Linked DNA regions of Astyanax mexicanus. The protein of the gene in region 1 purifies or fractionates together with the protein of each later gene. This does not show direct contact. Links are inferred from orthologs where the notes say so. Each region holds a gene or a part of one and is shown in the gene's direction. Other genes may lie near its edges. The genes, in order: eif2ak3 and tbl2.

What was found.
Region 2: the proteins of eif2ak3 (region 1) and tbl2 purify together in Homo sapiens (affinity purification with western blotting; 3 studies listed by BioGRID). This does not show direct contact. The link is inferred for Astyanax mexicanus from reciprocal best matches to the Homo sapiens genes EIF2AK3 and TBL2.

Annotation. Positions count from the first base shown.
Region 1 is NC_064414.1:26,634,906-26,642,023, forward strand, and holds the start of eif2ak3 (eukaryotic translation initiation factor 2-alpha kinase 3), read left to right. Parts: upstream 1-3,872; 5' UTR 3,873-4,561; coding exon 4,562-4,836; intron 4,837-7,118. Other genes in the region: rpia (ribose-5-phosphate isomerase), read left to right, coding at 519-616. UniProt on the Homo sapiens protein: Metabolic-stress sensing protein kinase that phosphorylates the alpha subunit of eukaryotic translation initiation factor 2 (EIF2S1/eIF-2-alpha) in response to various stress, such as unfolded protein response (UPR).
Region 2 is NC_064427.1:11,953,290-11,961,460, reverse strand, and holds the start of tbl2 (transducin beta-like protein 2), read left to right. Parts: upstream 1-5,034; 5' UTR 5,035-5,295; coding exon 5,296-5,422; intron 5,423-6,503; coding exon 6,504-6,619; intron 6,620-7,686; coding exon 7,687-7,871; intron 7,872-8,034; coding exon 8,035-8,171. Other genes in the region: prdm15 (PR domain zinc finger protein 15), read left to right, coding at 1-2, 422-597, 938-1,018, 1,225-1,425, 1,874-2,452.

The DNA of each region.
Region 1 (7,118 bases):
TAAGTGCAAACCACAACCAGTCATATTAAGACTATGGTTTGTTTTTTTTTTCTTCTAAATCTCTTGTAATTTAACTATGCATAACCATAACTAGTCATATTAAGACTATGCTTGAAGTGCAAACAGAGACAGAACTTTTTTTTTAAATGCCACGAGATCTCGTCACACCCCTAATTTTCAGTATAATAGAACTCTCTGAAACACTGACCTGTTGGCACCATGCCTAATATCTGGCATGGGCTAGAAGTATATAAAGCCCTCAGCCCTCAGCAGTGAGCTGTGATCTCCCCATCCAGTACTTTGGGATGAGGTGGGGTGGTGATCATACAGCATTCTGACCTCAATAACCCACTTGTTGTGCTGATTACAATCGAATCATCACAGTACAGTGCTCCAAAATATTAGAAAGCCTACCCCAGCAGTGAATAACAGTTCCTCCAGCAAAGAAATGAATGATCAAGTCTTTTTATTACCATTTATTTTAGAATTTTCTTTCCCATTTCCTTTCTCTTCTCTAGGTGTGGTGGAGACAGGGCTGTTTGTGGGGATGGCTGAGCGAGTTTACTTTGGGATGGAAGATGGAAGTGTGAAGATCCGAGATCCTCCTGTTAACTGAAGGGGAACGAGGAGAACGCCTTTTCCCGCCTGCTGCAAAGACAAGACCAGCCTGACACCGCAGTGCCAGTAGAGTACACACACTCGTGCAGCTCATGCGTGCCATCTACTGGAGATAACTACTACTTCTACTGGGAGAGAGACATGCAACCACAACATTTCCTAATATCTGATGAAGGTTTGAGTGTATGAAAAGCAGATGTGTACGCATTCACCATGTCATACACCTCGTCTTTCCTCTCTATTTTGTTTCTCGTAGTGTTGTTAACCACTCTGTTACTGACCCTGTACTTAGGGTAAATCTAAAGCTGCTAAACAGCTTGGCCTTCTGGCAGCCACAAAATTAAGCCTAGTCTAGGACTAAATCATTTAAAAACATTTATTAGTTGAAACTAGACCTTTAAACCTTTAACCTGGTGAAATGGCTGTTACTGTCTGCCTTCTGTTTGTGTGTTTTTTCTTTACTGTCTCAAATTTTTTGATTCTTGTCATTTCTGCATGTCTCTACACACTTTGAATTTGAAGCCATTTCTAGATGTACTTTGATCTCTGTGCCTCATGCATCTTTCACTTTGTTTCGCTTGGTTGTTGCCTTGTATTTCAACACTTTTTGTTATATTGAACCAAAGCATGACAGTGGTGGGAGATTAGCTAAATTTAGCGCACACACTGCAGTTAAACACTTTTACACATTTAAAGGTGCATGGATTTCTTTTTTATTTTTCTCTGCATTCAGACCTCATTAACGGTATGGACCAGTACCTATAATCAGTAGATTTATTTACATTTAAGTGTCCGTCTCTCAAGTGTCAGATTAATACCTCTGTTTACAATTAGGCCACTGTTTTACATTTCTTTCACATTTCAATAATAACATGTTAAGGTTTATATCAAAACAATCAAATGAGCAGATGCAGTTTTGGCTCTTTGGAGCGTTGAATGAATGTAACCACAGTTTATTTCAGATTGATCAGTGTTTTGAGCTCAGATTTCAGGGAAAAAATGAAGAAAAATGTGATCTTGAAAAAACATAGTACTACTAGTAATGCAGTAGTATTGGGTGTGTATTGGGTCTTATGAATATTTGATGTAAAATGAGAGGGTCAGTATTTTGGATGTTACAGCTAGCTTTGATCAGATAGAGCCACAGATTTGTTAAAAATATATACAGTACAGAGCAGCAGCCTTGTCTGCCTATGTATGGACTGTATATGCCAATTGATTCAATTCAATTTGTACAATTCGTATTTTTCTTTGATGTGCCTATCAATCTCAACAAACTGTTGTCAGGAATTTACAGTAGCACAGGTTTCCAGCAACCTGGCTTAACTCAACCCAAGTGATCAGGCCTTACCTCAGGCACCTTCCGCTCCTTTATGTTCTTAAGAGATGTTTGTCTTGTGTGACTTTCTAATGAAGTCACTGTGACCTATGACAACACCAGCTTTATGTTGACAATGTTTCTGTACCAATACTACTGTGACATTACGGTTTGGATTAGCGAATGGCATTCTTTATTGTTTTAAAGACCAATCTTGCATTAAAAGAGGACCAATCAAATAAACAAGACTTGTGGTACTTTTTCATTTTTTGATATTACTTTATTGGTAAACTATGTAGCTGCCCCTGTTGCCACCAGCAAACCCCAAAACTGGCCTACAAAACTAAAAATGGACTTGAAAGGTCAAAACCAGATCCTCTTTGAGCTTTCAGTATGGCTCAGCTTAACCTACTATCTTTTAAAATGCATCCAAGTCATTCTCTGTCCTGGCACTAAGATGGTAGGACAAATGATTTCAGATGTCAAAACTGAACAGCATTCTCCTCCAAAAAGTACTTAAATTGTTTTAAATTATCTTGCACTTATGATATAAAGGCTGTACTCATGATGTTATTTGACTTTTAGTTAAAGTGTAGTATGCAAGTGCCATGAATCTAGGTATCCATACTGATTTTTTTTTTTTTTTAATACAGCTCTGGGAAAGATTGAGACATTTCAGTTTCTCTGATTTTGCTATTATATATATATAGGTGTATGTTTGAGTAAAATTAACATTATTGTTTTATTCTATAAACTACGGACAAATTCCAAATATTGTCATTTAGAGCATTTATTTGAGTAAGCGTCAGACTGAGCACTTTCTCCATGTTAAGATGTTCCTAACCCTCTATGGCTTAAATTTTATGTTTGTAGGTAAATAACAAATACCACTGCTTTATTAGCATTATTCCTTTAACAAATGTGCTCTAACTGTATATTGCTGCTCTGATGCAACTAATAAATAAACACTTTAATAAGTAAAAAAAAAAAAACATTGATTAGCAATATATGCGTTTCCTCCTCTTTATTTATGCACAATATATAATATTTAAAGAAAATTTAAAAATAAACTATTTACCACTATTCAACAATTCACCAATTGGTGATATTGAAATCCATGTGGCTTTGACTTTTAAAATGAATTAAACTTTTCCCCCTAATTTTATTGAATGGAGACATGTCTTGTAACATTATATAATATATAATTCAGCATCTGCTAAATGCCTTAAATGCAAACAAAATATGATATGAGTATTATATGTATAATATATGTATTATAGTTTCTGTTCATATTATCGTAAATGTGTCATTTTCTTAAAAGGCCGCAAGATGGCAGCAGAAAACGCTGCCCTTAACTTATAATCATGCCCAGACATGCCCAGGACGGTCCTAGCGAATTAAACGTTTTACACTTTGGATTTACTGTATATCTGATATTCATTATACATTTAATTTTGTGTTAAATAAATGCCTCTCTTTTTTAATGACCACATGTGACATATAATGGATAAAAGTGAAAAGTAAAAATGTGAAAAAGTTATGTTTAGTGATTATGATTAGTACTGTTTTAAATCACTATTTGCTGCTTCACGCACTATTTTACGATTTTATTATATTTTTTATATTGTATTTATGTATGTTATGAATGGAAGGAACTATATTTATAACTGTTTTTATCGCATCGTGCGAGTTAAACAGGCTCTTTAATGTAATCCAACCACATTTACAGACCCGTTTCCGTGATTTAAAAGTTCAGAACTCTTCAGGTGTGTGTGAGTGCGCTTTAAACAGTGGCGCTTGTTTTCTACGCACAGTGCTGCTGAACTTTCTCCGGAAAAGGAAGCGTGAAGCTGCTTTTGCCCGCGATTAAGCGGCCACGTCGCGCTTTCCATCTCGCTGTTGTTCAGAGACTCACGAGATCCTCCCGCTGATCAGCTCGTCAGCGGCGGATCCGCCCATTTAAAAAGCTGGGGAACTATTTTGACAGACGGGCTCGTGGAGCAGCGGACCAATCAGGGCGCGCGCTGTGAGGCCGGGGTGTCGTTTCGTTGGTCGTGTCGTTGGTCCTCTCTCTGCTGTAATGTGTTTGGAGGGTTCGGACACGCCACGCTCCTCTACTTGCTCTGATTCTCCCCTCTTTCTGCTTAAACCCCGCCTTTTGGGGTGTGACTGACGGGCCAGCAGCCAATAGCGCTCTCTGTTTGGGGGGCGGAGCTCCGCATCTGACTGACAGTTCCCCCGCCCAATCCCCTTCTGCTTAGTAGACGAGCTGCGCGGAGTGATGTGCGAGCGCTGCTATCAGAGCGCTGTGGACAGGACGCGCTGGACTCGTGTGTTCCTCCGCGGCCAATGCGTGTTTGGATACGGGGCGGGCTGAACGTTACCACGGCAAGACTGAGGGCGCTATAAAGCCAATAACATGGTGCTACAGAGACTCGTGTTTACGCTAAGAAAAGAGATCTGAAAGTCGCAGGGAAGCTTGTTAATTGCGTCCTTTATTAGTATAAATCGTTTCAGAGCTTTTTTTTTTCAGGGAAGCTGTTTTAAAAAACTAGCTTTGCATTTTGTTTTTCGTATGGATGGGATTGCCTATCTAACATACTAGCTAATGTGCCACTTGTCCCAATGGAAAGGGGGCTTCGGTTTGGAATCGCGGGCATATCCCTTGTGCTGTTGTTGATCTTGAGAGGGGTAACCGGGACTTTACAAACCAACTCCCTCTCCGGGAGAAAGCTGGAGGCCCCGGCAGCAGGAGATGGAGCCGTTATGGAGCGGCTGGAGAGCTCAGGGGCTCCGGGAGGAACGGGGGACGTGACAGTGGAGGACGAGAACGGGGCGACTGGAGGAGAGGGAGAGGAAACGTCTGGAGAGAGCGACTCAAACTTCCCTCACAACAGAAGGTAGACAGCGCTGAATTACCTTGTTTCTCCCTGTGAAGTAGAGTTAATTAACAGACCCTGGGGTTTTTGTTTGAAGGTAGTTGACACTGTCAGTCAGTGTGGTTAACACCTAGCGAAACTTCCTGAAGTTAGTTAGGTTAGCGTTAGCTCACCTAGGATAACCAACCGAGCGAGCTGACCTAACGTACAGTTTCTTATTCCATTGGCAGATATTTTTGTTGCTCGTTTTAAGCATTATTTCTTGACACAAACTAGCTAAAATTGTCCTGAATTTGCTTAGCAATTAGCTATGGCGCTTTTGGTAGTTTTAAATAATCTATAACAAGTAAAAGTTACAAGGACGTTCGAAATAAGTTAGTAATTCCTGTAATGTTACTTTAAATGAGGAATAATTAACGTTAATATTTACACTACATTTAAGAGGATTTTACTTGTTAAGCTAGCGTTAGCTATGCTGTCTTGCTAAACCAGCCAGATAATGTAGCATATCCAAGGCAAAAGCTAGCTAGGTCAATTAGTTTACTTAGCTAGCTAACTGTAGCTAACTAACCAGTTACTGGCCAAATTCAGAGTATAGGTTGGCTAAGTAATAGTTATTTAGATTAAAATGATGAAGGTGCTAAGCTAAGTAGTTAGCTAATGTTAACAGACTCGTTTTAGCAGCTTGTTTCATTTCGTCTGTGGTGTTGTTGTTGTCCACAGTGACAGTTAGTTAGCTAGGTTAACTAGCTAACCTTACCAGATTGCCCCTTTCAAAAACCTCAGCTAGGTTAGTTAACAAGCCACTGGTCTAAATCTGTCCAGTATTGAGATACCATGCTGTTGCTCCCGTTAAGTTTAATTAACCTAACATGGGCTAGTTCAGCTAACTAGTTTGCTAAAGAGTTAGGCAATCATTTAGTTATGAGCTGTAGCCAGCTAGTTAAGTTAACTTAGCTAGATTAACTGTAAACATTGAAGAGGCTGGCTGTGAACGCCCCGCATATCCCTTATCTATGGTCAAGTTTTCCAACACCCTCAATGTCATTCGTGTATTAGTCAATGCTGAACAATTTCCCCCTCTTCTTTAATATGAGAGGTTTAAAATCTGTAGATAACTAGTTAGCTACAATGACTCGCTTTACATTTTGTAATACAAATAGCTTTTCCAGTCTAACACAGCGTCACACTTTATATGAAGAGATATTTTTGTATATTTTGTAAACACACGCCAAACCATGTGGAAACACAAACGCCGCAAACGCATGTGAAATACAGGAAATGAATGAATGAAAGAATATGTAAAAAAAGATGCATTTTCAAATACATGGGTTAAAATAAAACAAGTATAGAATAAAGGACGTTCATTCAAAAGTGCGTTTGTTTTCTTGTTTGCTATAGAGAGCATTTACTTTTCCATGTATTTCTTCATAAGGAGGGGAACGTTAGATTGATATGTTATGCAGCCCATAGTGAGGCTAATTTGGCAAATCTGAATAGTTAGTATTTTGTTAGAGTTAGAGCTGGTTTTTTTATGACCGATCTTCACAGGTTGACACGGACAGAGAGAGGCAGTATGGAGGTTTTAACGGAGGGGAGGAAACGCCCCCCCAAGTCAAACTGGCAGAAATGTTTTGGAAGATATCATTTAATATAAAGTAATTGCTGTATTGTAAATTGTATTTGAGCTATAATGCTCTGTTCATGTCAGTTAGGTGTTGTTAGTAGTTAGTAACTTTGTTAGGCAGCTTTAGAGAAAACAGTTTTTCAGTGTTTGTTCACCTGTAGTCAGTCGGCTCTTGACTGAAGCAGCGCGCTGGAGCTGCTGAAACCTCTCCCTATAACTAAAAAACCCAGTCGAGCAACAGTTTGAGTTTGAGCTCCGTGCCCTCAGCGAGCTTCAGCTCTGTGTCTACGTCAAATTAATGATTATTATTTCGTTTATTAACTTACCTAGATAATTGTGTATATTATCTATATATTAGGTAAGTTGTAAGGCATAATTCAGCCTCTTCAGCGTTCAGTCAGATAAAGAGCTGTTAGAAGTGCTGCTTTTTCACCTGGTTTAGAATGGGAACTTTTTTTCCCGTGTTTAATGCTGTGTGATTAAAGCCACATCTGAGGCAAATGTGCAGAGACCCCACCCCAAATCTGAATCCAAAAAAACAGAGGATGGGTACGCATACAGTCCTGTTATTGCAGCAGTGGACTCTCTCTCTCTCTAATGACAGACCTATTGGAGCTTCTGGAGTAAATAAGAGAAGTTGTTGTATCTAGATCTGTTTGTTGTTTTTTTTATTATT
Region 2 (8,171 bases), on another chromosome or scaffold:
GGGTGAGTCAAAATCGCAGGAAACCCTTTTATTTCAGAAATAAATTATGGTAGCATTCAAAATGGTGACCATATTTTGGACTGAAAGTTAGGCCCCCTCACTCATAACTTCATGCGGTATTTAGATTTGTCTGTTTCCCTTTCGTTTTTTTCTGAAATAAAAGCGTGTCCTGTGACTTTTGACTCAACCTGTATAAACCAATTAATTTTAAGTCTCTGAAGATGCAGCCCATCTGCGTGATGACCTGATCAAAAGTACACAGTATTACAAACACAGGAACCTTGGTTTCGGACCTAAATGTTTGAAAACACCCCTAAACTGCTGCTATATTAAATGTGGCAAAAAAATGAAACCCTTTTGTATAGTAAATTAGAGGATCATGATTATATTTTTTGCTGTATGTGTGTGTTTCCGTCCACAGTGGGAAAGACATGGTCATGCACAGTGTGTGATAAGAAGTATGTGACAGAGTACATGTTGCAGAAACACGTTCAGCTCACACATGACAAGGTGGAGGCACAGGACTGCCATCTGTGTGGAACTAAAGTCTCCACACGTGCATCGATGAATCGTCACCTTCGCAGGAAACACCCTGAGGTACACACTCACAGACATGCACACACACACACACACACACACAGTTTCACTCTTTGCACATTACAACAATTGTTTTGGTACAGAGGACACTCTGGGGCAGCCATGAGCCCCAATGAGCACCCAATGCCAATCATGATGTAGGATGGTGTCTTTCTCTGGGGATAGTTCAAGCTTTTACTTTGGTAATGGGGATCTGCATCTAGTTAATAACAGCTGTCCACATACTGTTCAAATAGTGTAAATATATGCAGTCATGACTGAACTACTGCAGTGCGTTTTGTAGTAGTTTTTGCGTGTGAAGTGAGTCTACATATCTGCTGTGTGTTCTTTCTGAGAGCAGGTGGTGCAAGTGAGAGTGGAGGGCTTTGAAGATCTTCAGGATTCTGCAACTATTGGTGCCTCCTCCATCAGCATAGTACAGGTGTCTTTTATGAAACTGTCTTTAAAGTAATAATTCAGCTGAAACCTCTTTTATGTCTAAACTGTTTCTTTTACATTGAAGCTACAGTAGCAGTAATGTAACTAGCCACTGCATTCCTAAATCATATGGAAGTGTTCAGTAATTCCTAATATACTTGCTTATGTGGTTTCTCTCTCTCTTTCCCTCTGTCTGTGTGTATGTTTCAGCCATCTGTGCCACTGGAGAAAACCCCCCTCTCTACAGAGAATTCTCTCCAGAGCTCCAGTCCCGATAAGAAACAGCAGAAGCATCAGCTGGAGGAGCCGGAGCTGTCAGACTCAGATGAGTATGCAGAATTCACCAACAAAACCACCTTCACAAGCGCTGTGGGAGACGAGACTAACTCTGCTGTACAGAGCATTCAGCAGGTTCGGATTATTAAAATACCTACCTTATGCTTCCACTCTCTGGTCACCTTATTACAACCTGTGTTTTGAACAAATAAGACACACTGGAAGACACTCCCATCATGTGCTTCCACTCACTGGCCACTTCATAAGAAACACTTCCTTTTGTACTTCCACTCTCTGGCCATGCCTACTATGTTCATCCACTATCTGGCCACTATCTCATAAGCACCCACCTTATGTTTCTAATCACTGGCCAATTTATAATAAACACCTACCTAGTGGTACCACCTTTTGGTTCTATTCCGTCAACTTTTTTAGAAACTCTTACAACCTGAGTGTACAGTCTCTATTTGAGCACCAGCAAGTTACAAGGGAGTGGGTTCTGATAAAGTGGCAGGGATGTGTGTATAAAAAATTATGACTGACATGTGTTTAATCATTCTCTCCACCCTCTCACCATACCCAGGTGGTTGTATTGGCGGACCCCAACACCACTGCTGCAGAATCTCCCTCTAGTTCTGTGAGTCTGACCAACATCACGGTGACTCCAATAAACACGCCCGCCCCGACACAGTTCACCAACCTGCAGCCTGTTGCCATGGGACACCTGACGCCTAACGACCGGCCTTTGAGTCTGGACAACTCCATCCTGACTGTGACTTTTGATACAGTGAGTGGTTCCACCATGCTACACAACCGTCCGGAAGAGCTGCAGAGCGAGGGAGGGGCGGGGCCTGCTGCTCCTCAATCTGTCGCTCACTTTATCAACCTCACCACCTTTGTCAACCCCATAACCCACCCCATGGAGCAGACGGCATTAGCCTGGAGGCCTGTTACTCCTGCTGATGGGACCCACGTCACAGCAGCAATAGATGGATCCCAACCGGACCCTCAGGACCCCCAGGACCCCCAACTTCAGGGGGCCACTTCGCAGCAGCTGCCCCAGCAAGCACATCCCCCAATGGAGCAAAGTCATCAGATCCAGCCTGAGACTTCAGAACCTACGCAGGATTCCTCTACAGCGCCACAGATGTTTAGCTACTGAAAGTTAAAAGTAAACAATTAAAGGGGAACTCCACACAGTTTTCCTAATTCCTGTGTAAATTTGTGTGTAAACTGAAGACATTCAAAGTGAGTGGGGACAGTCAGAGAGTGGGGTGCGGTGTAAAATTGTGGTTCATTTTAGAGAAAATTTTCAACAGTGTTAGTGAATCAAATCAAATGACTAAAACACAAATAGTCCCATTTCATTTACTTTCCAAACCCACTAGTAAACCTACATAAGTCTTTTCAGTTTTATAGGGGATGGCGATAAATAGTTGAAAATTTGATGCATACACAATTTCCTTGTGGACTACTTTTTGCTGAACAGCTAAATGTATCCCTCCACATTTTAATGATATGTGATTTTTAAAATAACCTTCTGAGGCTTCAGGCAGCATGTTCATAATTCTTACTGTGAATTGAGTGTTTCAAACCAAACCCGCTCTGAATTTTTACACCCGGGAGCTTTGACAAATTGGTGGAGCTCCCCTTTTGCACTTGGCAGTTTAAAGCAATCCTGGTCTATCTCTACTCTGCATTAGCTAAGATTTTTTTCTGCTCTAACACACTTAACCATTCCCCTCTTCAGGTTTTTCTATACTGCCTGGGGAGGGCCTGGAAAGGAAGGGCTTAAAAAAGAGCAGGTAAATGCTGATTGCAGAAGCAGAGTTTGGAAACCACATACAGATGTGTGCTTTTTACAGTGCATTTTAAGTTGTTTAAAAAGAATAATGCCACCAGTCACATTTATTAGTTTAATATGAACGCAAACCAAAGCTGTATGTATATTATTTTGAATGGCTTGTTGCGTTTGTATTGCAGTCTTTTGCAAGAGACCGTTCTAAACTGGAAACATAAGTTCTTCCTCAAGTTCAGAGAAGCTGTTTGTAAGAAACAAGTATATTAAGATAAGAAACAAAGAAAGAAAGATAAATGTGAAGCTGTCTTACCTGCTCACCTGACTATGGATCTTTTTTAATGAACTTTTTGTTATTTTCACACCAGGTAGCTTTAAATAAACTAAATCTATAATCACTGTTGTAGTGGATTTAATCTATTCCAGTATTCATCAGTAAGACTTTGTTTTCATCTGTGGCTGATCAGTAAAATGGACTTTTGGCGTAGTAAAACATAATAAAAAGTACATACCTTTGGTAAATAGCACACCTCTTTTCTCCCACAGCGTACCAAGATTCAGAAATTTTAACAGTTTGTCCAAACACCCTTCAGACTGGGTGACATGGGGCATAATTTGCCCTGATAAATCGCTTTTTTATTATTCTTCTTTATTACGCTTTTTTTTGGTATTCAGGCTCAAAGTAGCTCCACACCTCTTTGCTAGAATCTGGATAGCCCTGACAGTTAAAACAAGGCATTAATAACTTTAAAAAATTGCACAAAAAAACTGTTTACATCCCATAAAACTAGCTTTACCTCTGTGCGCTGCCATTACTGTACTGATAATCACACACACACATATATATATACATATACAAATTATGCCCCGTGTCACCCAGTCTAAAGGATGTTTGGACAAACTACTATTTAATATTCCTGGATCTGGTGCTTTTCATCAAAGGTAAGTACTTTTATCATGTTTTACTACACCAAAAGTCCATTTTACTCAGGAGTTCTCCTTTAAGCATCCTAATTGACACCAATACAGCCATAGCATTTTACACATCTACCCAATATTATTATATATTTTTTTCTGTCTCTGAAAACTAATTCTTAAGCAGATACATTGTTTTATTTTTATTGTTTTTGTATTTTATTACACCTGTAGCTTATCACAGTTTAAAAAGAAAATATACTTTATTTTTGCCTGAGTGAATAACTAAATTGAAAAATAATCTCCCATACCCCAGTGTACAGTAGCGATGTACAGTAATTTACTGATAGAATGGCAGAGATTGTTTGTAGAGTTTGTAGGCTCTCATTTGGGAAACAGTGAAAGATTGTTTTTAAACTGGGCTGGAGTGAACAGTCCAGTATGGAAGCCCATTTCCGCCACCTGAAGAAAAAAAAACTTCCTAAACTAAGTCATAATTATGAGATAGAAAAGTCATAATTATGGGATAGTAAGTCATAATTTTGAGATAGTAAGTCATAATTATGAGATAAAAAAGTCATAATTATGAGATAGTAAGTCATATTTATGAGATAAAAAGTCATCTCATAATTATGACTTCGTATCTCATAATTATGACTTACTATCCCATAATTATGACTTTTCTATCTCATAATTATGACTTAGTTTAGGAAGTTTTTTTTTCTTCAGGTGGCGGAAATGGGCTTCCAGAGTCGTCCTTTGCTTCCCGTATTGAAACCCCTCCTCTCTCCGCTCCACGGACACATTCAGACTCCATAAGCGTCCCTTATTTTTAATTCTGAAAGTTGTCAACCCTAGTGGCGAATAAAAAGAACTTAAGCTTCGTTAGATATTGTGTGTAAAAGGTACATTACAGAATCAAAAATGTGGAAGGCTGACTTTTGAAACAGATTGAATGAATAAATTAATGAATGAACAGGGCGAGCACAGCTCACCTCCTCCAGGCCGCCAGAGGGCGGGAGGGATCAGTATTTTCCTGAAAGCTGAGGAAACCCCTGAAGAAAACTCTGACAAGTCAGCACGGTCCACGACTGCAGCGCGAATAGTTATTAATACAGATAAATATAGATCAATTTCTTTATACACGCGCCCGATATTAATACGCTTAGTCAGCACGCGCACAGAGGCGGAGAGAGAGAGGGAGAGAGAGATACAGTAGTTTGTGTATGTACATATGCATGTGTTTTGTGTGAGTGTGTGTATGTCTGTGAGATTGTATTTGTGTGTATGTGATGGAGTTCTCAGCTGTGCTCGTGCTCTCCCTGTTTCTCGGGGCTCTTCTCGTGCTGATCTTTGCTGCAGTTGCGAAGAGAAACGGAACACCTGAGCAACCTGAGCCAGAGCAGGTAAAACCCACAGGTGAGTTTCCTTATATTACAGATAACTCTGATCACCTTTTAAATGAAAACATTTAGCTACTTTAAGATGCACCCATTGCTGCTAAACTGCATGTGTGTAAAAGCAGACACAGGCTGTGTAGTCATGGCTAAATGAGAGGTGCTGCTAATAGAACAGTAGAAAAGGACTCGGTCATGGACTGGATGCACTGAGCTGTAAAATGACTGTGCTCAGTTCAGGACTTTTAGGATGAGGTGGGGAGATTCATCATTTAATATCCTGCCCTCACAAATGCCTTTGCTGTTCAGTGCAGTCAGATCCTCACAGCAATGCTCTATAATCGTTTAGAAAGCATTTTCTGGACAGGAAAGACAATTACTCCAACAATAGCAGGTTAAACTCTCTACTAAAATAGATTTCAGATTAAGCCATTAATGAAGAGGTGTCCCAATACTTTTGTTCACATCATGTACATTATACGTGTGATTTAGTGTTGGGGTGCTGAAGGTGGTCTTCACCAACTTCTCAAAGTTTTTGGTGTTTTAGATGAACACATTCAGAGTGGGGTTTGGTGTGAATTAAAGGTTCAGATGTCTAATACCGTTTATTACTAGTGTTAACAGTTGTGTGACTGGGTGTGTTTCACTCTAAACCTACTCTAAAAAGACATTTTTTCATATACACCTGATGTTTGGGTGATGTGTGTACAAAGTTTATAATAATTTGTTTGTGAAGTAAATGTTAGGTCAAAAAATAGTACTTAAGTTAAGGTACAAAACTATTTGGGAATTTGTGTTTCAATGAATAAAGATCCTATTTGTGCACTTTTACTGGAGTAGAAATTGTAGACAGAATATAACTTGAGTAAAAGTACTATAGAAATTATGATTGTTTTTTATTAAAGGGATTTGTGTGAATGCAAACAAAGTTTAATTGAGTTTGTTTATCAGAATAATATGAAAATAAAATGATGATTAATTATGATCTGTTTTTGATACTCAAGTGCATTATTAGTGTAATCAAATATTCATCTCACTCTGCTGCTTGCTGATATGGCACAAACACAAACAAACAGACACTCTGCTGCTATTTAATGTTACAGCTGAAGAGAGTTCAGCGAAAGCCTCTTCTAAGAAGCAGAAACAGCAGCAGCGACCACGGAAAGAAAAACCCCAGCAGCACATTTTCACCCACACTCTTCTGGCATCTTCTCTAAAGGTATGCCTCCTTTTCTGGCCGCCAGACCTACAGTCTCACCTGTCAGGCCAGTGCCTGTAATGCTACTGACTCTGTTAAATACTTTTTAAAGCACAAGCTATTCTAGGCTGCAGCCTTGGGGCCTATTCAATGATTAGGGCCCACTGATTGGCCACATTTTATTTTATTTTATTTGTTTATTTTTCATGACATTTGAACCCCCTTTGGTCCATTTTAATGATAAACACTTGACACGACACGGGAGTTCAGAATTGTTTGATTTGTGATTGTTCCTAAAAGGAATACTTTTAGGCAAACAATGTTGCACCTGTAATTTACTTAAAAAGTGTGGGAAAAAGTGCATTATTGGCACTCAAAAAACAAAAGCAAGTCAGCTAAGGCAGACCTGCCAAAATGTGCGCATTTTGTGTAACGGCCATGTATTTTGACCTCCTAATCTGCTTGTACGGTCCCATGTTCTAAACTACACATCATTTCATCTCACATTTTGCCACTTTCAGTCAAGTCAACTTGATTCCGCCACTGCTTCGTAAGCAAAGTGCTTTTGGCTGGTCAGGGTGCTTAATTTTCACCCAACCATTTTCAGGTTGTTGAAGGTAGAATATGGAGCTACATTAGCATTTACTTTTAACTCAGTTTAACTCAGTATCTCAGCACATTAAAATATTTTAATTTAAAAAAATCATCAAAACTACCCTGAGATTTTATAGTACAGTAAAAAAGGATCTGCCTAAAAATAAATCATGATTTAATTATGATTAATCACAGAATGTTGTTGTGATTTAATATAATTACAGCAATAATATTAATATGATTAATTTTGTAAGTGTGTATAGAAATGTTTAGGATGGAATGCCCATTTAAAGTGCAGCCTAGGGGCCAACATGTCGTGTTAATGTGTTAATCATGACTATAGTCAAACAGTTTAAACAATTTAAAAAAGTAAAAAATTACAACATTGTTTTTAGAAACACATACTTTCATTAACGCGCCACTTTTATAAGTGCCTGCCCTGTATTTTTTTCTCTTTCAAAAATTATTTTTTTCTTCTCATCTCCTTATCTCAGAACCACAGTGGGAATATAACATGCCTAGATTTCAGCAGCAATGGTAAATATCTGGCCTCCTGCTCAGACGACCGTAGCATCCGGATCTGGAGCACCAAGGACTTCCTGGACCGTGACCATAAATGTCTGCGAGCGAATGTAGAGTTTGACCATGCTACACTCGTCCGCTTCAGCCCAGATTCCCGGTAAGTGCTGACCTCAGAGTTGAAGGTGTTGAACTCACTTTCAGCCTAGCAGTAACACTGGTGTGTGTACCACTGAACATTTATAGTAGGTGTTTCTAATAAAATGGCCAGCAAGTATAAATAATAATCAGGCAGCTCTGTGATACTGCACTGGGTTTTTTAGAGCTTTCATCACATGGCTGGCCAACGCAGAGACCATTCGGATCTTCAAGATGACTAAGAAGGAGGACGGCACGTTCAGTTTTAAAGCTGCTCCAGAGGACTTTCCCCAGAGGCACAAAGGAGTGATCATCAACATCG